3 linked regions of the Xenopus tropicalis genome follow. The protein of the gene in region 1 interacts with the protein of each later gene in a biochemical or structural test. Links are inferred from orthologs where the notes say so. Each region holds a gene or a part of one and is shown on either strand. Other genes may lie near its edges.

Evidence for each region.
Region 2: the proteins of setd1a (region 1) and wdr82 form a complex in vitro, tested with the Homo sapiens proteins (2 studies listed by BioGRID). The link is inferred for Xenopus tropicalis from reciprocal best matches to the Homo sapiens genes SETD1A and WDR82.
Region 3: the proteins of setd1a (region 1) and wdr5 form a complex in vitro, tested with the Homo sapiens proteins (4 studies listed by BioGRID, with this or other methods). The link is inferred for Xenopus tropicalis from reciprocal best matches to the Homo sapiens genes SETD1A and WDR5.

What each region holds. Positions count from the first base shown.
Region 1 is NC_030685.2:5,882,433-5,891,186, forward strand, and holds the start of setd1a (histone-lysine N-methyltransferase SETD1A), read right to left. Parts: upstream 5,917-8,754; 5' UTR 5,750-5,916; coding exon 5,711-5,749; exon of another isoform or gene 5,587-5,710; intron 5,581-5,586; exon of another isoform or gene 5,376-5,580; intron 1,978-5,375; coding exon 1,825-1,977; intron 1,091-1,824; coding exon 992-1,090; intron 870-991; coding exon 599-869; intron 1-598. UniProt on the Homo sapiens protein: Histone methyltransferase that catalyzes methyl group transfer from S-adenosyl-L-methionine to the epsilon-amino group of 'Lys-4' of histone H3 (H3K4) via a non-processive mechanism.
Region 2 is NC_030680.2:128,234,527-128,242,302, reverse strand, and holds the end of wdr82 (WD repeat-containing protein 82), read right to left. Parts: coding exon 7,695-7,776; intron 7,592-7,694; coding exon 7,475-7,591; intron 6,388-7,474; coding exon 6,232-6,387; intron 6,086-6,231; coding exon 6,016-6,085; intron 5,933-6,015; coding exon 5,790-5,932; intron 5,612-5,789; coding exon 5,582-5,611; 3' UTR 3,622-5,581; downstream 1-3,621. Other genes in the region: twf2 (twinfilin-2), read right to left, coding at 1,630-1,654. UniProt on the Homo sapiens protein: Regulatory component of the SET1/COMPASS complex implicated in the tethering of this complex to transcriptional start sites of active genes.
Region 3 is NC_030684.2:8,197,671-8,206,486, forward strand, and holds the start of wdr5 (WD repeat-containing protein 5), read right to left. Parts: upstream 4,695-8,816; 5' UTR 4,652-4,694; coding exon 4,571-4,651; intron 2,817-4,570; coding exon 2,708-2,816; intron 2,635-2,707; coding exon 2,561-2,634; intron 2,242-2,560; coding exon 2,152-2,241; intron 798-2,151; coding exon 708-797; intron 164-707; coding exon 80-163; intron 1-79.

The sequences.
Region 1 (8,754 bases):
TTGACCCCCGCCCCCCCCCCATTTATATCCTCCCTCTCTCCTTCACTAATGGTTGCTCCCAGTATTCCATGTACTGATCCCCCCCCCCCATCTATATCCTCCCTCTCTCCTTCACTAATGGTTGCACCCAGTATTCCATGTACTGATCCCCCCCATCTATATCCTCCCTCTCTCCTACACTAATGGTTGCTCCCAGTATTCCATGTTTTATAGCTTCATGCTCCTAACTTGCCACCGTTACCTGCACCCCAATCTAATAGCACAGAGAGCTTTAAAAGGAGCAATATAATATAATATTATATATATATATATATATATATATATATATATATATATATATATATATATATATATAAAAATCCTAATCCACCGAGTGAGCTGTTTGGGCCTAGCCCAACCGCTGGATTCAGCCCCAGCCCATTATTGCTGCTCTGCCAAACATTATGCACGCAGCCTGTCAAATCCCGTTAGACTGCCAGATGGCAAATTGCCATTTTTAAATACTCTGACATCTTAATTAAGACCAAAAACATTTGGCTAAAAACTTGTCCCAATACTACTGGCCACATAGCTCTGACCGAGTCCGTTGCCCCCTCACCTCTGAGGTCCAGCTCGGCGTGGATGATGTTGCCCATCACAGACGTATTGTGGAGGTGAGTGACTGTGTCCCTGGCCGCTTTGGAGCTGGAGAAGAGGACCTTGGCCAGCCCCAGGTGTTTCCTAGTTTTGGGGTGCAGCAGTATCTCCACTTCCTCCACATCCCCAAACTTGCGGCACATGTCGGCCAGGAAAGGCTCCCGCACGTTGTCATTGAGATGCGCAAAAGTGATTTCTTTCTGGGGAAGCTGTCCCACGTAGAACTCATCAAACTAACAAACGGGGGGGGGGTTACAGAGTGAAATCTCGCTCCCAATGAGAGGAGGTACAGAGCCCAGAAATACAAAGCACATCCCACAGAAATACACGCTCTGCGCAGATATTACCCGCATACCTTAAATTTAGGAACAGGGAGGGAAATCTCTCGTGGTTTGCTCCACATGCGATGCTGTCGGGGGTCCCGCACGTCCCCCAGTGGGAGGAATGCTCCATCCTAAGGGCAAAGCAATAACATCACTCAGCGACTGAGCCATTAAACGATACCCCTGGCTGAGAAGTAACCTACCAAACCTTAGCCATGGATACAGTTTGGAATTTAAACTGCTGTCTGGTTGCCAGGCTCACTGCCCTTAACAACCAAGAAGTAGCTTAAACAGCACACAGTAAGATGAATCAGAAAGGGATAGGTTAACTTTTAGTATGTTGTAGAATGGCCTAGTCTTAGAAGCTATTCAATTTTTATTTTTTATAGTTTTTGAATTATTTGCCTTCATCTTCTGACTCTTTTCAGCTTTCAAATGGGGGGTCATTGACCCCAGTGCCAAAAAACTGTTGCCCTGCGAGGCTACGATTTTATTGTTATGGTTCCTTTTTATGACTTCTTTCTATTTATGCCCTCTTCTATTCATAACCCCGTGTCTCTTTCAAACCACTGTGTAGTTGCTAGGTTAAATTGGACCCTAGCAACTAGATAGCCGCTGAAATTTCAGACTGGGCAGCTGCTGACCAAAAAGCTAAATAAATTTATAAAATGAGAATAATAAAAAATGAAGACCAAATGCAAGTTGCCTCAGAACAGCACTCTCTACATTATACTAAACGTTAATTTAAAGGTGAACTACCCCTTTATAAAGAAAATAATAAAACAATAATCACAGACCGCAAACTGCGGGAAGCCACTCATAATAATGCTCCCCACCCCCCCGACACAGGCTGTAAAGGCCTTACGGATATGTTGAAGTGGATTCCATCATAGCGATAGACTTTCTGCGTTGTTCTGCGACTGTGCAATGCGGGATCCAACAGCAACTTGTAGCTCCTCCACTGGAAGCCCGCCCCTCTGTGACTTTCGCCCTCGGGCTCCATCTGGGGACATCTGACCTGTAAGGGGACAGTACAACAGTTTATGGAACATACCGTGCTGCATTTCAACCCTGCGCTTATCTGGTTTAGTCTTTTCCACTACTTCCCATTAAATGTTTTCTCGTTGTGTGGCTGACTTGGCCTTTAAAATGATCCTGACTGCCTTAAACTGCTACACGCTCCTTGTTAGAAATCGGACAGTCACTGTCTCATTTTGTTTTTAGGCCGCGGGCCTGTCGTTGGTGCCCAGACATTACTATAACATGGCGCCACTCGCTCCTCCTATAAAAGTAAGTCCTTATATCATCCAGCGAGTTTCAATCCAGCGGCTGCTGTCGGTTATTCGGAACCAAACTGCTACAATTTACAGTACAATCTCCCGCTCTCCAGTCAGATTGTGGGTTTCTGTTTGGTGTCACGTGCAGCCATCTTGGTTTCTTGCACCCGTCTGTTTGCTCACTCCCATTGTTTGCCTTTAGAACGCTCTCTCCACCACGTGCTCCTCTGTCTGTCACACACCTCCGTCTTTGCACTGCAAGCGCTCCTTTCCCATGGTGTCTGTCTCTTCAGTGTTGGTCTGTGCGGTCTGCAAGCTTCAATATTAAATCTCTTCCATTTCTTGCACTCTCATTGCCTGTCTGCCAACCTTGTCCATCAGTCTCTTGATTTACAATTTTATCCCCTCCTCTGAAATGTATTTACTCCATGCAATCTCCTAGCAAATATATTCTATGTCATCCTGTCTGTCAGAAAGATTCCCTAGTAAACAACCCTTAATGTCTGTCTCCTGCGTGTCACTCTATAGCCAAACACTATAACTAAACACCCCACTGCTGCCCCTGTAAAGGCTTTGATATGTGGCTGTGTCGGTCTCTCCCAGCTGCCCCTCTGTCTCACTCTCTGTGGTTCTCTCGCTGCCTGTAGCACTGGGCCAAAATGGCTTCTCTTAAATTTCACACTGGGAATCTCTAAGCATACTTTTGGCCAGTCTCTTGCCCTGCCTGTCTCCCCAATGCCCCCCCCCCCCCCCCCCACTCTTCTCTGTCTTCTAGTTACACTCAGCCCCTTCCTTCAGCACAGTATCCCAGGGAACAGTGGGCCCCTGACAAGCCTGGGGCCCCCTTGGGGGCATTAGATCATTAAGGAAAGTCCACCCTGCACCAGCCAGCTTTGGATGAGCAGCAATTCGTTGGCTGTTGGGAATAGTAGTGAAGCAACAGCCGGGGGGCTGCAGTAGGGAAGTAACAGCCGGGGGGCTGCAGTAGGGAAGTAACAGCCGGGGGGCTGCAGTAGGGAAGTAACAGCCGGGGGGCTGCAGTAGGGAAGCAGAAGCCGGGGGGCTGCAGTAGGGAAGCAGAAGCCGGGGGGCTGCAGTAGGGAAGCAGAAGCCGGGGGGCTGCAGTAGGGAAGCAGAAGCCGGGGGGCTGCAGTAGGGAAGCAGAAGCCGGGGGCTGCAGTAGGGAAGCAGAAGCCGGGGGGCTGCAGTAGGGAAGCAACAGCCGGGGGGCTGCAGTAGGGAAGCAGAAGCCGGGGGGCTGCAGTAGGGAAGCAGAAGCCGGGGGGCTGCAGTAGGGAAGCAGAAGCCGGGGGGCTGCAGTAGGGAAGCAGAAGCCGGGGGGCTGCAGTAGGGAAGCAGAAGCCGGGGGGCTGCAGTAGGGAAAGCAGAAGCCGGGGGGGCTGCAGTAGGGAAGCAACAGCCGGGGGGCTGCAGTAGGGAAGCAACAGCCGGGGGGCTGCAGTAGGGAAGCAACAGCCGGGGGGCTGCAGTAGGGAAGTAACAGCCGGGGGGCTGCAGTAGGGAAGTAACAGCCGGGGGGCTGCAGTAGGGAAGCAGAAGCCGGGGGCTGCAGTAGGGAAGCAGAAGCCGGGGGGCTGCAGTAGGGAAGCAGAAGCCGGGGGGCTGCAGTAGGGAAGCAACAGCCGGGGGCTGCAGTAGGGAAGCAACAGCCGGGGGGCTGCAGTAGGGAAGCAACAGCCGGGGGGCTGCAGTAGGGAAGCAACAGCCGGGGGGCTGCAGTAGGGAAGCAACAGCCGGGGGGCTGCAGTAGGGAAGCAACAGCCGGGGGGCTGCAGTAGGGAAGCAACAGCCGGGGGGCTGCAGTAGGGAAGCAACAGCCGGGGGGCTGCAGTAGGGAAGTAACAGCCGGGGGGCTGCAGTAGGGAAGTAACAGCCGGGGGGCTGCAGTAGGGAAGTAACAGCCGGGGGGCTGCAGTAGGGAAGCAGAAGCCGGGGGGCTGCAGTAGGGAAGCAGAAGCCGGGGGGCTGCAGTAGGGAAGCAGAAGCCGGGGGGCTGCAGTAGGGAAGCAGAAGCCGGGGGGCTGCAGTAGGGAAGCAGAAGCCGGGGGGCTGCAGTAGGGAAGCAGAAGCCGGGGGGCTGCAGTAGGGAAGCAGAAGCCGGGGGCTGCAGTAGGGAAGCAGAAGCCGGGGGGCTGCAGTAGGGAAGCAGAAGCCGGGGGGCTGCAGTAGGGAAGCAGAAGCCGGGGGGCTGCAGTAGGGAAGCAGAAGCCGGGGGGCTGCAGTAGGGAAGTAACAGCCGGGGGGCTGCAGTAGGGAAGCAACAGCCGGGGGGCTGCAGTAGGGAAGCAGAAGCCGGGGGGCTGCAGTAGGGAAGTAACAGCCGGGGGGCTGCAGTAGGGAAGCAGAAGCCGGGGGGCTGCAGTAGGGAAGTAAAAGCCGGGGGGCTGCAGTAGGGAAGTAACAGCCGGGGGCTGCAGTAGGGAAGCAGAAGCCGGGGGGCTGCAGTAGGGAAGCAGAAGCCGGGGGGCTGCAGTAGGGAAGCAAAAGCCGGGGGGCTGCAGTAGGGAAGTAACAGCCGGGGGGCTGCAGTAGGGAAGTAACAGCCGGGGGGCTGCAGTAGGGAAGCAGAAGCCGGGGGGCTGCAGTAGGGAAGCAGAAGCCGGGGGGCTGCAGTAGGGAAGTAAAAGCCGGGGGGCTGCAGTAGGGAAGTAACAGCCGGGGGGCTGCAGTAGGGAAGTAACAGCCGGGGGGCTGCAGTAGGGAAGCAGAAGCCGGGGGGCTGCAGTAGGGAAGCAGAAGCCGGGGGGCTGCAGTAGGGAAGCAGAAGCCGGGGGGCTGCAGTAGGGAAGCAGAAGCCGGGGGGCTGCAGTAGGGAAGTAAAAGCCGGGGGGCTGCAGGTTGGCCCCAGCTGATGTACGAAATGAAAGTACCTCAGAACTGACAATGTATCATGTGGCCCTTTGTCCATTTACTCCTTCCCACCCCCAGGGGTCCCGGGATGCTGGGGGGCCGGATACCCTGTGTGCCCTACCCACTAAGCAGCCGCGCAGTGTATCCGTTCCCTGGGTGCCCCTGTGCCCCTCGCATCGCCAGGTTCCCATTCCGGGGCAGCCCCTGTGCCCCTGCCCTCAGCCCCTCACTCCCGGCCTCCCCCGCCATGGCCGCCGCTCGCCGTTACCTTCCACACTGTGTCTCGGTGTTTATTTCCGCTGCTGATTTCCCTGCTTCTCACCTGACTGACGCGCTGTGTCCCTAGCTGTCTCTCCCCCGGATCCCTCTCTCGCTGCCTCCCGGTGGCGCTGCCTTGCCTTCCGCTCTGCCGCTTTCGCCCCGGCCCTGCCCCCTTTGCCTCACACAGGCTTCCCCACCGACTATTTAATTCCTCTTGCCTTTTCTGCCTCTCCCGCCGTAAAGCGGTCTCGTTTTCTTCACAAACGCGCTGAGTAAAATCCTATGTCCGCACCGCGCAGAGTGGAATCTGCAGCCACTGAAAGCGCAGACTGGTTTCCTCACCACCACTTTCCGACGCGGCACTTTCAACACAAACACCATAAAATAAGCGAAGCCATTTTTTCCCCGGACGGAGCACGGCTTCTCACTTTGTAACCCACTAATAACATAAAAGCAGCAGGGGTGGGTTTTTATTTTCCCTTTTACTGATTAAGAAATGTGGAATCTGCCGACCGCTGAAGGAAAGCTGAGTGACGTAGTATAAGGAGGGAGGAAAGGCGGGATTATGTTATAGAAAGGAGCGCAGGAAAGAAAAGGATGCAGATCTATAGTCCGACTCTATGGTTACGGGAGGACGGTTACCAGCCTGGAGCTGCTATAGGCTAGAGAGAACACGTGGTGTGGGGTTTTGTGTTCAACCCGCGCTGCCCAAATCGCCATTGGCTCTAAGTCAGCGCCTCTCACAGTCTGGCCAAATCCCTGCCCACTGGTCATATGGTCTGCGAACTGGGGACATTGGGCGGCCACAGAGTAAAGGCTCGGTCACAGTCAGGGTTTGGATAGAATAGAGACATTGGGCAGCCACAGAGGGGAGACTGGGTCACAGTCAGGACTTGGGTAGAATAGTGACATTGGGCAGCCACAGAGGGGAGATTGGGTCACAATTCAGAATTTGGATAGAATAGTGACATTGGGCAGCCACAGAGGGGAGACTGGGTCACAGTCAGGACTTGGATAGAATAGTGACATTGGGCAGCCACAGAGGGGAGATTGGGTCACAGTCAGGACTTGGGTAGAATAGTGACATTGGGCAGCCACAGAGGGGAGACTGAGTCACAGTCAGGACTTGGGTAGAATAGTGACATTGGGCAGCCACAGAGGGGAGACTGGGTCACAGCCAGGACTTGGGTAGAATAGTGACATTGGGCAGCCACAGAGGGGAGACTGGGTCACAGTCAGGACTTGGGTAGAATAGTGACATCGGGCAGCCACAGAGGGGAGACTGGGTCACAGTCAGAACTTGGGTAGAATAGTGACATTGGGCAGCCACAGAGGGGAGACTGAGTCACAGTCAGGACTTGGGTAGAATAGTGACATTGGGCAGCCACAGAGGGGAGACTGGGTCACAGCCAGGACTTGGGTAGAATAGTGACATTGGGCAGCCACAGAGGGGAGACTGAGTCACAGTCAGGACTTGGGTAGAATAGTGACATTGGGCAGCCACAGAGGGGAGACTGGGTCACAGTCAGGACTTGGGTAGAATAGTGACATTGGGCAGCCACAGAGGGGAGACTGGGTCACAGTCAGGACTTGGGTACAATAGTGACATTGGGCAGCAACAGAGGGGATACTGGGTCACAGCCAGGACTTGGGTAGAATAGTGACATTGGGCAGCCACAGAGGGGAGACTGGGTCACAGTCAGGACTTGGGTACAATAGTGACATTGGGCAGCAACAGAGGGGAGACTGGGTCACAGCCAGGACTTGGGTAGAATAGTGACATTGGGCGGCCACAGAGGGGAGACTGGGTCACAATTCAGAATTTGGATAGAATAGTGACATTGTGCAGCCACAGAGGGGGGACTGGGTCACAGTCAGGGTTTGGATAGAATAGTGACATTGGGCAGCCACAGAGGGGAGACTGGGTCACAGTCAGGGTTTGGATAGAATAGTGACATTGGGCAGCCACAGAGGGGAGATTGGGTCACAGTCAGGGTTTGGATAGAATAGTGACATTGGGCAGCCACAGAGGGGAGACTGGGTCACAGTCAGGGTTTGGATAGAATAGTGACATTGGGCAGCCACAGAGGGGAGACTGGGTCACAGTCAGGACTTGGATAGAATAGTGACATTGGGCAGCCACAGAGGGGAGATTGGGTCACAGTCAGGGTTTGGATAGAATAGTGACATTGGGCAGCCACAGGGGGGAGATTGGGTCACAGTCAGGACTTGGATAGAATAGTGACATTGGGCAGCCACAGAGGGGAGATTGGGTCACAGTCAGGACTTGGGTAGAATAGTGACATTGGGCAGCCACAGAGGGGCGATTGGGTCACAGTCAGGACTGGGGTAGAATAGTGACATTGGGCAGCCACAGAGGGGGGGCTGGGTCACAGTCAGGACTTGGGTAGAATAGTGACATTGGGCAGCCACAGAGGGGAGACTGGGTCACAATTCAGAATTTGGATAGAATAGTGACATTGGGCAGCCGCAGGGGGGAGATTGGGTCACAGTCAGGACTTGGGTAGAATAGTGACATTGGGCAGCCACAGAGGGGCGATTGGGTCACAGTCAGGACTTGGGTAGAATAGTGACATTGGGCAGCCACAGAGGGGAGACTGGGTCACAGTCAGGACTTGGGTAGAATAGTGACATTGGGCAGCCACAGAGGGGAGACTGGGTCACAGTCAGAATTTGGATAGAATAGTGACATTGGGCAGCCACAGAGGGGGGGCTGGGTCACAGTCAGGACTTGGGTAGAATAGTGACATTGGGCAGCCACAGAGGGGAGACTGGGTCACAATTCAGAATTTGGATAGAATAGTGACATTGGGCAGCCACAGAGGGGCGATTGGGTCACAGTCAGGACTGGGGTAGAATAGTGACATTGGGCAGCCACAGAGGGGGGGCTGGGTCACAGTCAGGACTTGGGTAGAATAGTGACATTGGGCAGCCACAGAGGGGAGACTGGGTCACAATTCAGAATTTGGATAGAATAGTGACATTGGGCAGCCGCAGGGGGGAGATTGGGTCACAGTCAGGACTTGGGTAGAATAGTGACATTGGGCAGCCACAGAGGGGCGATTGGGTCACAGTCAGGACTTGGGTAGAATAGTGACATTGGGCAGCCACAGAGGGGAGACTGGGTCACAGTCAGGACTTGGGTAGAATAGTGACATTGGGCAGCCACAGAGGGGAGACTGGGTCACAGTCAGAATTTGGATAGAATAGTGACATTGGGCAGCCACAGAGGGGAGACTGGGTCACAGTCAGAATTTGGATAGAATAGTGACATTGGGCAGCCACAGACGGGAGACTGGGTCACAATTCAGAATTTGGATAGAATAGTGACATTGGGCAGCCGCAGAGGGGAGACTGGGTCACAG
Region 2 (7,776 bases), on another chromosome or scaffold:
CCTTCTGCCGATTCAGCTCTGAAGGGAGAATTTTGGTCAGGCGCCTTCTATGGCGCCCGATCAAAATTTTCAAACTTGTCCGATCGGCGAGTCGTCCGATATCGGCAGCTTCCTGCGATATCGGTCGACTCGCCGACATGCCATACACGCACCGATTATCGTACGAAACGAGGTTTCGTACGATAATATCGGTGCGTGTATGGCCACCTTTAGTTGAAAAACTATAGCTGTCTTCCCCATGTAAGTATAAGTGCAAACCCAGGAACTATTTTGGCACTTCAGGCCAATTGTATGGATTTGAAAAATACTTAGACACTGCACAAGATAGTGTTACACTGCAACCACACTGCCATAAGTGAGAAACCTCTGGATTTTGCACAGCTACCACAAGTTTTGTAAGGAATCCTAGGCAGGCTGAAAATCACAGCTGCAGAATAAAGGTGGCCATACACTGTTAGACCTCGCCAAGTGAGCGGATCTTGTCTCGATAGGTGGGCATAGGCACTGTTGGTTTAGGGACCGCATCAACGAGTCGATTATGTCCCAGACCCAACGTAAAAACCAAATTTCAGGCAAGATTTTGGTCAGGGAGGCCCATCGGTAGACTAATCTCCCCGTCTGCCACAGCCCTTACTGCATTTTAAAGTGTTGCTGTTCTTTAAAGGGTTTGTTCACCAACCCACTGCCTGGCTGCTAGGGTAAACTGGACCTAGCAACACAAAAGCTGCTGATATTCCAAACTGGAGAGCTGATGAGCAAAAAGTGAAACAATTCAAAAACCTTAAAAAAAATACAAAATGAAAACCAGTTGCAAACAGTCTTAGAAAATGAATGCCTACATCAAACTAAAAGTTAATTTAAACGTGAACCACCCTTTAAAGGTAAAAAAAACCCAATCCTACCCTAGAGAGCTGCTGGAATCCGCAGCCACTGGCAGAGTGTCTCAGCAACTTTCCAATATACAATAATTAACAATAAATGTTTTTTAAAGTTAACTGCAATTGCTACTGAAAGCTGTATGCCTTTTGGCTTGTATTCTATGCATTACTGGTTCTGACACCTGAAACAGTGCAGCAAAAAGCCATCTGATTAATGAACCTAAAGAACTACCTCCTGCTACATTGTTTCAAGAGTCAGTACCAGAGAACAGCAAAGGATAAACAAATAATGATTTGAATCAGAATTACATTTGCACATTCATTTAATAACACTGAAAATGTTTAATCTGTGCATAAGGGAAAGTTGCTTATCTTTTTTTTTAATTTAATGTCCCAGGGAGATACAATTTCTTCCCACAAGAAAGTAAAATGAAAGCAAAATCTATTGCCTCCCTCAGAGCCCGGCCCTTCCCATTGAGCGGTATATAGCGCTGTATATAATATGCTGTGTGGCATTTAGTAACAGGTAGGGCAGCCGCATACACACAGGGCTAGGGAGAAAGGCAAGCATGTATACATAAGCCGCACACTGGCTAGCTGTAGCCCCAGGGCACTAGGTGAGGCAGCGCACACCCAGGCATACAGCGCATACTCCCATCCAGCTCACACACACACATATACAGCCAGTGACACCCACACCATACGTGCCAGTGAGGGGGCGGCTGTGGGGACAAAGCGAAAGAGCAGTTACCGTGGATCCCGGTCTGATGGGCCATCGTTCGGCTGCTGACAGCTTCAGGTTAGGGAGCGGCTCCCGGGCCTACGTAGGGGGGCGTGCCTCTGGCTTAAGGGGCGTGGCCTCTGCTATTTAATAAAAGCGAGTGCTTCCTTTGGGGGCATAGCAGAACTGAATTTCCGCCGTCTGTCAGGGGCGGGGCTCTGAGCTCAACTTAAGTTCGCGTTGCGCAATAACAAAAGGGAACTGAGCGCTAACGAGATTGCAGCCGCTATAGGAGCTGCCCCAGAACCACAGAAGATAACCGCTGCGATATGTATTGCTAGGATGCCCAGCCGCGCCGTACACTGGGATGGATACTGATCATGTGACCCCGCTGGTACTGCTGTGATTGGATAGTATTTATAGGGGCGGGAAAAAACGCCCTTTTAATATCTGAGGTACCAATTTGCAAGGCTGGTTGGTTTACACCTAGGGGTAGGGGAGATAGCTGTAGGGTACAGGATCTGGGCTCCTTATGGGGAATAACAAATATATTTTATTTTAAAATATTTTTTATACATGATAAATGTATACAATTAGGGGGTCTGGCCTGTAGTGCTTTAGCTGTAGCAGGCGTGGCCATCTGGACAACAAGTCATCCTGGTTGGCTCCTCTGTTTGAATCAATTATAGGTTCTTTTTGGTATGTAAGATGTATGTTTAGTGCACACAGCCATCTTATGTACAAACCTGTAGGTTATGTTGCTGCTGTATAAATGTTTGCCTGCTACTGGAACTGACAAATTTGCCCTAAGGCCCAGCCACAGGTTCCACCACATTCATTCTGTAGTACAGGTATAGGACCCGTTATCCAGAATGCTCGGGATCAAGGGTATTCCGGATAAGGGGTCTTTCCGTAATTTGGATGTCCATACCTTAAGTCTATTAAAAAATTAATAAAACATTAATTAAACCCAATAGGATTGTTTAGGATTATTTATATCTTAGTTGGGATCACTTACAAGGTATTATTTTATTAATACAGAGAAAAAGGAAATCAGTTTTAAAATTCTGAATTATTTGATTAAAATGGAGTCTATGGGAGACGGGCTTTCCGTAATTCGGAGCTTTCTGGATAACGGGTTTCTGGATAAGGGATCCTATACCTGTATATGCTTTTGAAATAACAATTTTTGAAGCTACGCAAGTCCATAAAAGCCACTGCGAGTGCTCATGCTTCTCCGCTACAGACGAAAAGAAAAACTAAAGCTCCGAAACCCAAACTCCCATGTGTAAACCTGTAGTAAGTGTTGCAATGACAGGACATCCTCTATTGGTATAGTAAGGGAATCAGTATAGTATATACCAGTGTTGCACTAAGGCCTCTAGCACATTGGGCATTAAGTTCACCAATGCCACCTGGCACTTAAGTGGTGGACAGTTTGTCCCATTTGGCCTGTTTGCAGTGGACAACAAAATGCTGTGTACTAGGGGCCTATTATGACCCAGATGTTGCTGGTGTGAATTATTTTAAGGGCAGGACATTCTCTATATATCAAGTTAATATGTTGGTTATTAATAGGCCATCACAATGTATAACAGGGGAACTATAGTGAAACTGTAATATAAACTTTATCTCATAGAAATAAAACATTCTGAATATAATCAAAACTTTTACACAGTTTTATGAAATAATTGAATAACTCTTCACTATCCCCTTCCTAGCAATGCCTTTCTACATGCACGAGATTTTGAAGGACAGATTTTGAAGGACAGCTAAGTCAAACACATCGTTGGTCATAACCCCCATTGCCTAGATAATGTATAAGAGCTATCTTTCAAAATAACCGACAATGCTGCATGTAGAGAGACAGGTTTGCTAAAAGGGGAAAGAGTAATCTGATTATTTAAGACACAATACCAAATTGTAACGTGCTCTGACATGCTGGTGTCAAGTGCACTTTTACCATCTGTGTATTGGGCATTAAAGATATTAAACACATTACTCAAATAAAACAGTACATAGTTGTTTTAATATTTTATTTATGTAAAAAAACATAATTTACAAGAAACAGCTGCACACTGCTTAGCTCCCCAGTAATGGTTTAATCCATTTCTTATTTACATGCACAATCCTCAAATGTATATGAGACAGTGAGATAAATCCTTTATGCTGTGGAATATCTTTATTTTGAAATACTGAATACTGCTTATGAGGCTTCCTTGACATGAGGAAACCATACAATATTTTTGTTTATTTTTTTTTTTTAAAAAGGTTCTGTGTGGTTAAAAATAAACTATCATATTCTGGAGCTGTAAAATACACATTTCCTTGAAGTGTAAAATCTTTTCACCTACTGCTTACTTGACACAAGATCTTAAAGGGCCAAACACACCTAGTTTCCAAATAGGGTATTGCATTAATTTTAATTTAAGATGACAGTTTGGGGCTTCTTTTTATTATATAAATAAAACATAACGCTATTATACTGATAGCAAACCAACATTAACTAGGACTCCTAGATTGTGCTATTTTTTAGTCTATGTAGAGTGATTTTACCGAGGCAAACAATATCACCATTCCCCCAACAGGAACTGTTAATCTATGGTTAAGAACCCAATGCTGCTTTTGGTATGTTTATGTGACTCATTTTAAGATAATGAACAACAGAAAGTAATTAAAATGAAGTGTATATTTGATTTCCAACCAATTTGTGGTCACAAAACAGATCCCAGACTTTTCCTGGGTCCTCTATTAACAAGGTTATTAACCACATAATGTTTTCTTAAAAGCTGAATTCAGTGGTATATATGGATTGCCCTTTAACCTACGTATTTCACTTTCAGCTAGCTACGATTGTCTGTGGGCAAGAAAGAAGCTACTTGTCCTATGCCAGCCAGGCCAATGCAGTGCTGGTAGTGTGGATGCCAACCCAGGCAGTTCTTAATACTAGTGCCAGTTTAATAATGCCCGTTTAATAATGCTGCTTACAGAATATGAGAGCAATATATACTGTTCTGCTACTTATGAATTATATTACCAAATAGATTAACCAATTAATGAAAGAATCATAATCCTGATCTAAACAAATTGGGGCAGCACTAATAAGCAAATTCCCCACAAAGCTACCAGTACTGACTTGAAATAGAAAACAGATGGACAATGCTTAACCTGCGGCCCGTTGGCTATTAAACACATCCAGCATCTCTCAACAATCAAAGGAAACACAGAAATCAATAATAAATGATATAAAGCAATTCCAGTTTAAATCAACTGCATGAAGGAGTCAAAATTGCTGTTTCTGGTAACATGGGATTGTGTTATAGGAATATGTCTGTGTAGATTTGATGCACATCTGTGTAATACTTGTGGCAGTAACTACAGGTGTGGAGAGAGAGCCTATAAGGAAGGAGCACTGCATTAATAAAATTTCTCTTAAAATTAACCAAAACAATAACAGATGTAGCTTCTTGCCAGCCTTTAACTCTGGACAGAGAGGGTATCTAAATAGAATCTGGTTTAGCCGGTTATTTAGTGCGTCATCCACCATGAAATCTACCTCTGGTGTAATATCTGGTGTAACAAGGTTGGTGTGGATTCTTACCATAGTGAACATTTAAATCCTGCTCCAAAGAACAAATACAGATGGAAGCGTATATAAAGGATATAAAAAGAGAGATTGGTAGCATGTGTCTCAAATACAGGTTCGTCAGGAGAAACATGACAAAAATATATACACCATTCCACAAAATAAGTGCCCAGTACATGAAGGTAAAAAACAGAAGTTCATAAATCTTGATATGTACCGAAGAACAGTTCTTATTTTGGCAAAGAGAAATGTTGGCTCAATACTGGGGTATTTTTATGGAAGAATAAAAAAAATAACCATTTTCTTGTTCTTCATATATCCGGGCATTGTGAAGATTTATTTGTGGAAAATAGCTGAAGAATGGGATTTTTACAAATGCCAGCTTCTCTGTATGCATCAGTCATCAATAGTTGGTAGCCAAAAAGCCTGCAATGTAAGATTGTTAGAATCAATTATCCACAGGATTTTCATAGATTCTAAAGCTAGCCACAAACTGTATACTTTGGGACTTCATAGCCTACAAGAAGACATTAATAACTTGATAATGCAACAATAGCTGTATAAAGTGCCAGTTATAACAACCAAAGAATATGATTGTGCTTACCATGTTTGAGCAAGCACTAGTAAACGTCATGAACTTGGGGTTGAACTGTAGGCATGTGATAGGACCTGTGTGTTTGCCATCCAGCACTGCTACTTTCATACCACTCTCACAATTCCAAACATGAATTTTGCCATCTTCTGAGCCTACAGAGATTGAGATGAACCAGTGAGAGGAGTGGATATTGCACAATAGTTGGGATATTAATAAATGTTTTCTTCTAACTTACCGATCATAATAAACTGGGAATCTGGAGTGAAGGTAGCTTCCAGGGTGACAGCCTTACTATTGTTGTAGCCCTAATAAAAAATTCATTATAAGTTTGTTATTTAGTAACGTATTCATCATAAAGTGCAAATATATTCCACAGCAGTAAGTTTAATGACAAGAAGTCATAAGGGCTCTACCTGTTCAGGCCATTTTAATGAAAAAAAAAATTACTCACCCCAAACGTGTGCATAACAGCCCCCTTAAAAGCATCAACCAGACGAAGGAAGCCTCCATTGGTTGACATTAAGATAAGTTTCCCATCATTGCTAAATTTCAGAGCAGTCCACTCACAGGTTCGATCATACTGCATCTTGAAGGTTGCAAATGGACCCTGTGATAAGCAATATTGTACCAGGTTGGTCAATCACTATTATGAAAAGGGACACTGTGCATTTTGTTTAATTTAAGCCCAAAGTGACAGTCAGAAAATGTGACAACTTTGAAGGCCTGGATCATTACTTTTACAGAAATGCTGAACCTTTAGGCTGGTGGATTAAGTCCAGTATATAAAATTCATTTTTAGCGTTTAGTTCTCCTTTCAATTCAGTCTGACACCATCATCATCATCTATTTATTTATTTATAGCACTAGCAAATTACGCAGCACTTAATCAAGATACATTGAATTTGCTTCCCTAAATAAATGGGAGAGTTTGGAAGGAAGGGGAGATTCGGATGGCTCAAGATGGATGATCACAAGCTTACGTAAGAAGCTGTTAGGTGCAGCTTTACACTATAACATACTAGCAAAGGATTAAAAAAATCAGTGCCACTGAGCAACCCTGATAAACTGCAGATATGACCTAAATTTTAGTCTTAAGCCACATGTTAAACAGAGACATTCACCTCTGGTACAAGCATTCCTTGCTCAATGAGGCATTTATAATACATCTATAAGCATAACGTAACGTTGCAGACATTTATAATGTATTATTTATATAGAACCTGCCATTTCCACATTGCTTTACAGAGATTATGGAATATTCACCTAAGTCCCTGCCCAAATGGAGTGTACAACCCAATTGCATTTACACACAGTAAAGTCAATGTTTTTTAGGAACCAATTAACCTGCCTGTATTTATTTTTTTAGGGATGCACCAAATCCAGGATTTGGTCCAGGATTCTGTATTTTTCATCAGGATTGGGATTTGGCTGAAACCATGCCTCTGGACAAACCAAATGCTTAAAATCACATGACTTTGATTTTTATCTATTTTATCCTTTCTGGTCCCAATTTGCATATGTAAATTAGGATTTAATTCGGATTAGTATTGGACAAATCTTTTGCAAATGATCCTACAATAGTGCAATAGTGGATTCTGTGCATCCCTAATTTTTTTGGGATAGTGAGAGAAACTAGGAGCAGCCATGTGGACACGGGAAGAACTTAAAACTCAATTTTGGGTTACAAAACTCACTTTATCAAAAGAGCGAAGATCATACAACTTGACCATCTCTGAATTTACTCCAGCTGCAAAAATGAGACCCTCGGGATCAAATGAACATACAGGTTTTCCTTGAAGATGCATTAGCCCCTGCATGGAAACAAGGAGACAAAGCAAGCCAAAGTTAACTTACAACATTTAGGTTATTACGCAAATAACTAAATACTAAAATAGTGATCAGACAATTACTCACCTGACAGTTAGGCGATCGAAGATCCCATAACCGGATGGTTTTATCCAATGACCCAGAAATGAACGTATCATCCACAGGAGAC
Region 3 (8,816 bases), on another chromosome or scaffold:
GACATGGAATTTCCAGTGCCAGAAAAAAAAATGGCTGCCATGGGCCTACGTGCATCTATGCCCTGTACAATATGCTTACAGCAGAGACGGGGTCAGAATGAGCAGGCAACGTCTTCAGGCATTTCCCAGTTTTCACATCCCATATTCTTACACTTTCATCAAACTGAAAAAAAAAAGAAAGGTCAAATTAGAAACCATTAGAAAGTGATTTCCGGATATGGTATAAATTAATCCTATAAACGTGTTTGTTTCCCGTAACCCCCGGGATAGGGCATACCCAGAGCTGCTGAACATGCCAATGATATCCAGGAAAGGGTATGGCCAGTAAGCCCTATGCAAAAAGCCTGTGGTTTCTCTACTAGTTCCGTAGGAGGTTTTAGTTGTCCTTTAAAAGCCCTAATTGGAAGTTAAACTGATCAGTAGATATCAGAACTCAGAACCCCCACAGTATCACCAGCAGTCATTATGTCCCATTTATAACATATGGACTTTGAACGCGTGAGCAGTCTGTGCTGATTTCAAAAGCATCATGATAACGGCGGCAGGTAAAAGATTTCTCGGCCATTATAGATTCAGGGATTGGTGAGCGGCAGTCACAGTTCTCTCTTATAAACAACATGGCAGTAAGGAGAAGTATTACGAACGTTCAGTGGCCCTATATATAAACCAAGAGGGGAAAAAAAACAACTCAAGTCTCATCAACTTACGGATCCTGACACGATGAGGTTGGACTGCGGGTTAAAGTTACAGCAGAATACATAGTTACTGTGCCCCTTCAAGGTCTTCAAACATTTTCCCTGTAGAAAAAAAAAAGGCAAAAAATATAGGTTTTTTAAAAATGATAGTAGAACAAGTTTCCGGGGTTAATGAACCCAAATTAGTGAGATAGAGGCAGAAGAGGAAAGCATATGGTTTAATAAAAAGTTAATTAAAAAAAAAAAAAAAATGACGTCCAATTGAAAAGTTGCTAAGAATAAGACATACTAAGGGGCACATTTACTTATCTACGAACACTTGGTGCGTTCGTTCGATCCAATCGTATTTTTTGCACCTTGCACGACTTTTTTCGTATTTTTAGCATGAACAAAATCAGTTTTGCTGCTGTTTACTATCGTTCGGTACAAAAATTGTGACTTTCGGATCGCCAATATGATATTATCGTGACTAATACGATTTTTTCGTAAGCACATTTTCGTTATATTTGCGATCTTCAGAAATTTTCGTTTCCAATCCAAATTTTTCCCATTCGGGATTTGAACTCGTGTTTTGAGAAATACGCCCCTAACGCCCCACCGTGGCATATATGGGCATAGTGCCGGGGCTCTCCTGCCAGGGCTGGAACTAGGGGTAGGCAGAAGAGGCACTTAACGATTGGGGGGCGCCAGGCAGGAGCCTTTAGTCCGCATTCCCTTGTCACTGCCCTGGCTGCTTGTCATTACGATTATGTGGTGGGGGCAATGATCCCCCGTGTTTGACGGAACTGCACATGGGGGGGGGGGGGGGAAGGTGCAGGGGCAAGGTGGCCGACCCCTGCAAACAAATCTTCTAAGGGGGCCTGGTGAGAACAGTCCCTCCTGTCCTGACCCCAACTATTTAAAAAAAAAAAAAAAAAGGATGAGGGGGGGGGGACTGCAATACAGCAGACCCCACAGTACGGCCCCCCTGTCACCCAGGCCCCCCGTGACCGCTGGGTCTGCTGTATAGCTAGTTTCACCACTGATAGCTCCGATGGAAGCAGTGGGTAATATGGACTCACCTTCAATAAGGAAGATTTATATACACACCGTTAAATCCTTTTCTCTATAGTCGTTAGGGGGACACAGGAAGAGTGGGGTAAAGGGCTCCTCCTACCAGGAGGCAGGACACTGCAGTGATGTCATAACTGTTGCTCCTCCCTCTTTTCTTTAACCCTTTTGCTTAGCCAACAGGGCTCAGCTTTTTAAGTGGACAGGAGGTTAGGCCTAGCCTCTAGAGAGGCTCTGCCTACTACCAAGGCCACGTTTGCCCACTGGATTAACGAGGCAATTAGGCTGTTCCTGTGTCCCCCATGATGTAAGAGAAATAGGGAATGTATCCTGTGTTATCATTTTACCCCTCAATGAAGAAACACAAAAACATATTCTTCCCAACGGTAAGTCAATCAGGCCTCACCGAGCTCACGTCCCAGATTTTTAGAGTTTTATCGTCAGAAGCAGAAACCAGGAGGTTGGAGTCAGAGGACCAGGCGACATCAGATATTCCCTGAATATAAAAATAAAAAGAATAAATAAATAAAAGTTTCACTAATCGGATTTGATTAAGGGGGTTTATATTTCTTAACCAGTGCCAAATTAAAACACATGAAATCCCCAAGCCCGTCTATAAATTAGGGAGGCCCCTGGGGAGGTGTCTGGCAAATGCAAACTCTAATTGGCTTCTGCTGCACGGCGCTGGGGGGATAAGGTGCAAAACAGTATGGGTTTAATGTTACACGAAGCAGACGCTGGTGGAATTTAAATATATGGTGCTACAGGAATTCAACACCGGCTAGACGCGAGCAATAACAACAAAAGGTTCTTACCAACTTGTGGCCGGATATGGTTTTTTCAAACTTGCCGTCGTACGCCCCCCATATTTTGATTAACTTGTCGGCCGCTGAAAAGAACAAAAAAGTGACACTGTAGTTTCTTTAGGGCAAAGACATAACGATAGGTGGAATGTCACTTACATGAACTGGCGAGCCACTCCCCGTTCGGGCTGAATTTTACAGATGATACGGCCTTGGTGTGTCCGGCGAGGGTGAACTTTAGCGTGTAATTTGGCTTTACTGGTGCAGGCTATGAATAGAAGAGAAAAATGGGGATTTCAGAAATGTATTTTGCAGACATTGAGGCAGAGAGTTGGGGGAAACAATAGTTTTAAAATAAAAAACAGCCCCCTACAGTGACAGGGAGCCCCCAGGGCAGGCAGCCATGTTGTATGTAACCGCTGCACAAACCTGAAATTTGTCACATTCAGCACCCACCCCCTATATTTCATCTCTCTACAAACATCAGAGCCGCGTATTGGAAAGTACCCAAAAGTTGGTTGAGTCGAACGTATTCATGAGAAACCAGAAACAATTCAACTTAAATTCATAAAACTCCCAACCCTGGGTGAGGATCTACTGCCATATTTCAGTATATGAATGAGGAATGAATGGATATTGGGGAGTTGTATCAGGAGTCAGAACCAGCAGTGCAGAGAAGGGAAAGGGACAGACACAGTGACAGTTACACATAACTATAAACCCAGTGAGAATGAGGGATGAATGGATATTGGGGAGTTGTATCAGGAGTCAGAACCAGCAGTGCAGGGAAGGGAAAGGGACAGACACAGTGACAGTTACACATAACTATAAACCCCAGTGAGAATGAGGAATGAATGGATATTGGGGAGTTGTATCAGGAGTCAGAACCAGCAGTGCAGGGAAGGGAAAGGGACAGACACAGTGACAGTTACACATAACTATAAACCCAGTGAGAATGAGGGATGAATGGGTATTGGGGAGTTGTATCAGGAGTCAGAACCAGCAGTGCAGGGAAGGGAAAGGGACAGACACAGTGACAGTTACACATAACTATAAACCCAGTGAGAATGAGGAATGAATGGATATTGGGGAGTTGTATCAGGAGTCAGAACCAGCAGTGCAGAGAAGGGAAAGGGACAGACACAGTGACAGTTACACATAACTATTAAACCCAGTGAGAATGAGGGATGAATGGATATTGGGGAGTTGTATCAGGAGTCAGAACCAGCAGTGCAGAGAAGGGAAAGGGACAGACACAGTGACAGTTACACATAACTATAAACCCAGTGAGAATGAGGGATGAATGGATATTGGGGAGTTGTATCAGGAGTCAGAACCAGCAGTGCAGGGAAGGGAAAGGGACAGACACAGTGACAGTTACACATAACTATAAACCCAGTGAGAATGAGGAATGAATGGATATTGGGGAGTTGTATCAGGAGTCAGAACCAGCAGTGCAGGGAAGGGAAAGGGACAGACACAGTGACAGTTACACATAACTATAAACCCAGTGAGAATGAGGAATGAATGGGTATTGGGGAGTTGTATCAGGAGTCAGAACCAGCAGTGCAGGGAAGGGAAAGGGACAGACACAGTGACAGTTACACATAACTATAAACCCAGTGAGAATGGGGAATGAATGGATATTGGGAAGTTGCTTGAAAATACATTTTCTTTAGTCAATATTTTATCTTGGGTTGACATCCCCTTTAACTTTTAGTATGTTACAGAATGGCCAATTCTTGGGACCTCTTACTAAAAGTTAATTTTCTAAGATGTATATTTAAGTAGGAAAAGAATATGTAACCCTTTGGATCCTATAACCCTACTACACTACCCACCTATAAGAGGCCCTTTATATTAAGGGTATATTTAAAAAGCCAGAGGCGGATATATTTCCCCTTTAACATTACCCTTTATAAGCAGGATTAATGATCCATAACTGCTGGATTTCACACAAAAGTAACACCCAAAGCCTTACTGGAAGCATCTTGGCCGCTCCACATGTAGAAGAATACCAACCTTGCTCTGATTATTGGACGAGGATGGGGTGGATTGCGTCTTGGAAGCTTCAGTTTCGGGTTTCTTTTCTTCTGTTGCCATGGTGCAAGAACTGGAATGGGGCCCCTTGAGTTAGCAGATGGCCACTCCCACTATGCAGGCTAGGTGTTTGTAAACAAAGAAAAGGACATAATTAGCAATATTTATTACTTATTTACTACTATTTGTACCAGAAGCCTTTCCAGAATAATGTATTTATATGTGGTATGGGGTTCTCCTATTGTGCACGTGTGAGCATTGTGTAACAGTACAGGCAGTAGTGGGGCTGTAGATTTTTTGGGGAAACATTGTGGCCAATAGGGAGACCTTTCTGAGGGGGCGTGGCTGTTTGGGATATAATGGTATGGGGGGCTATTGGTGTGGCTGTGGGGTTAAAAAAAGAGGATATATAAAGGTATGGGGGCTATTGGTCTGGCTGTGGGGGTATAAAAGAGTATCTATATTGGTATGGGGGCTATCCGTGGGGGTATGAGGGAGGATATATCATGGTATGGGGGCTATTGGGGTAGCTGGGGGTATGAGAGAGAATATAAAGGAAAGGTATGGGGGCTATTGGGGTAGCTGAGGGTATGAGAGAGGATGTAAAGGAAAGGTATGGGGGGTATTGGGGTAGCTGTGGGTGTATGAGAGAGCATATATAAAGGTATGGGGGGGTATGGGGGTAACTGGGGGTATGAGAGAGGATATAAAGGAAAGGTATTGGGGCTATTGGGGTAGCTGAGGGTATGAGAGATGATATAAAGGAAAGGTATGGGGGGTATTGGGGTAGCTGAGGGTATGAGAGAGGATATAAAGGAAAGGTATTGGGGCTATTGGGGTAGCTGTGGGTGTATGAGAGAGGAGATATAAAGGTTATGGGGGCTATTGGGGTATCTGTGGGAGTATGAGAGAGGCTATATAAAGGTATGGGGGCTATTGGGGTATCTGTGGGGGTATGAGAGAGGCTATATAAAGGTATGGCGGCTATTGGGGTATCTGTAGGGGTATGAGAGAGGAGATATAAAGGTATGGGGGCTATTGGGGTAGCTGGGGGGTATGAGAGGGGATGTAAAGGAAAGGTATGGGGGCTATTGGGGTAGCTGTGGGTGTATGAGAGAGATATAAAGGTATGGGGGCTATTGGGGTAGCTGAGGATATGAGAGAGGATATATAAAGGTATGGGGGTAACTGGGGTGTTTGAGAAAGGATATAAAGGAAGGTATGGGGGCTATTGGGGTAGCTGGGGGCATGAGAGAGGATATATAGGAAAGGTATGGGGGCTATTGGGGTAGCTGGGGGCATGAGAGAGGCTATATAAAGGTAAGGGGGGTACTGGGGTATCTGTGGGGGTATGAGAGAGAGATATAAAGGTATGGGGGGGTATTGGGGTATCTGTGGGGGTATGAGAGAGGAGATATAAAGGTATGGGGGGGTATTGGGGTATCTGTGGGGGGTATGAGAGAGGAGATATAAAGGTATGGGGGGGTATTGGGGTATCTGTGGGGGTATGAGAGAGGAGCTATATGGAATGGGGGGGTATCTGTGGGGGTATGAGAGAGGAGCTATATGGAATGGGGGGGTATCTGTGGGGGTATGAGAGAGGAGCTATATGGAATGGGGGGGTATCTGTGGGGGTATGAGAGAGGAGATATATGGAATGGGGGGGTATCTGTGGGGGTATGAGAGAGGAGATATATGGAATGGGGGGGTATCTGTGGGGGTATGAGAGAGGAGATATAAAGGTATGGGGGGTATTGGGGTATCTGTGGGGGTATGAGAGAGGAGATATAAAGGTATGGGGGTATCTGTGGGGGTATGAGAGAGGAGATATAAAGGTATGGGGGTATTGGGGTATCTGTGGGGGTATTGGGGTATGAGAGAGGAGATATAAAGGTATGGGGGGGTATTGGGGTATCTGTGGGGGTATGAGAGAGGAGATATAAAGGTATGGGGGTATTGGGGTATCTGTGGGGTATGAGAGAGGAGATATAAAGGTATGGGGGTATCTGTGGGGGTATGAGAGAGGAGATATAAAGGTATGGGGGTATTGGGTATCTGTGGGGGTATTGGGGTATGAGAGAGGAGATATAAAGGTATGGGGGGTATTGGGGTATCTGTGGGGGTATTGGGGTATGAGAGAGGAGATATAAAGGTATGGGGGGTATTGGGGTATCTGTGGGGGTATTGGGGTATGAGAGAGGAGATATAAAGGTATGGGGGGTATTGGGGTAGCTGGGGGCATGAGAGAGGATATATAGGAAAGGTATGGGGGCTATTGGGGTAGCTGGGGCATGAGAGGATATATAGGAAAGGTATGGGGGGTATTGGGGTATCTGTGGGGGTATGAGAGAGGCTATATAAAGGTATGGGGGTATTGGGGTATCTGTGGGGGTATGAGAGAGGAGATATAAGGTATGGGGGGGGTATTGGGGTATCTGTGGGGGTATTGGGGTATGAGAGAGGAGATATAAAGGTATGGGGGGTATTGGGGTATCTGTGGGGGTATAGAGAAGAGATATACAAGGTATGGGGGTATTGGGGTATCTGTGGGGGTATCTGTGGGGGTATTGGGGATGAGAGAGGAGATATAAAGGTATGGGGGTATCTGTGGGGGTATCTGTGGGGGTATTGGGGGTATGAGAGAGGAGATATAAAGGTTATGGGGGTATTGGGGTATCTGTGGGGTATTGGGGTATGAGAGAGGAGATATAAAGGTATGGGGGTATTGGGTATCTGTGGGGGTATTGGGGTATGAGAGAGGAGATATAAAGGTATGGGGCGGGTATTGGGGTATCCCTGGGGTATCTGTGGGGGTATTGGGGTATGAAGAGGAGATATAAAGGGTATTGGGGGTATGCTTGGGGGTATTGGGGTATGAGAGAGGAGATATAAGGTATGGGGGGTATTGGGGGTATCTGTGGGGGTATTGGGGTATGAGAGAGGAGATATAAAGGTATGGGGGGTATCTGTGGGGGTATCTGTGGGGGTATTGGGTTGAGAGAGGAGTATAAAGGTATGGGGGTATTGGATCTGTGGGGTATGGAGAGGATAAAAGGTTGGGTATGTGGGGTATGGGGATATGAGAAGAGATATAAAGGTATGGGGGTATTGGGGGGTATCTGTGGGGGTATTGGGGTATGAGAGAGGAGATATAAAGGTATGGGGGGGTATTGGGGTATCTGTGGGGGTATTGGGGTATGAGAGAGGAGATATAAAGGTATGGGGGTATTGGGGTATCTGTGGGGGTATTGGGGTATGAGAGAGGAGATATAAAGGTATGGGGGTATTGCGGGTATGAGAGAGGAGATATAAGTATGGGGGTATTGGGGTATCTGTGGGGGTATTGGGGTATGAGAGAGGAGATATAAAGTATGGGGGGGTATTGGGGTATCTGTGGGGGTATGAGAGAGGAGATATAAGGTATTGGGGTATCTGTGGGGGTATTGGGGTATGAGAGAGGAGATATAAAGGGTATGGGGGTATTGGGGTATCTGTGGGGTATTGGGGTATGAGAGAGGAGATATAAAGGTATGGGGGTATCTGTGGGGTATCTGTGGGGTATTGGGGTATGAGAGAGGAGATATAAAGGTATTGGGGGTATCTGTGGGGGTATCTGTGGGGGTATTGGGGTATGAGAGAGGAGATATAAAGGTATGGGGGGTATTGGGGTATCTGTGGGGGTATTGGGGTATGAGAGAGGAGATATAAAGGTATGGGGGGTATTGGGGTATCTGTGGGGGTTTTGGGGTATGAGAGAGGAGATATAAAGGTATGGGGTATCTGTGGGGTATCTGTGGGGGTATTGGGGTATGAGAGAGGAGATATAAAGGTATGGGGGGTATTGGGTATCTGTGGGGGTATTGGGGTATGAGAGAGGAGATATAAAGGCTATGGGGGTATCTGTGGGGGTATCTGTGGGGGTATTGGGGTTATGAAGAGGAGATATAAAGGTATGGGGGGGTATTGGGGGTATCTGTGGGGGTATGAGAGAGGAGATATAAAGGTATGGGGGTATCTGTGGGGGTATTGGGGTATGAGAGAGGAGATATAAAGGTATGGGGGTATTGGGTATCTGTGGGGGTATTGGGGTATGAGAGAGGGAGATATAAAGGTATGGGGGGTATTGGGGTATCTGTGGGGGTATTGGGTATGAGAGAGGAGATATAAAGGTATGGGGATATCTGTGGGGTATCTGTGGGGGTATTGGGGTATGAGAGAGGAGATATAA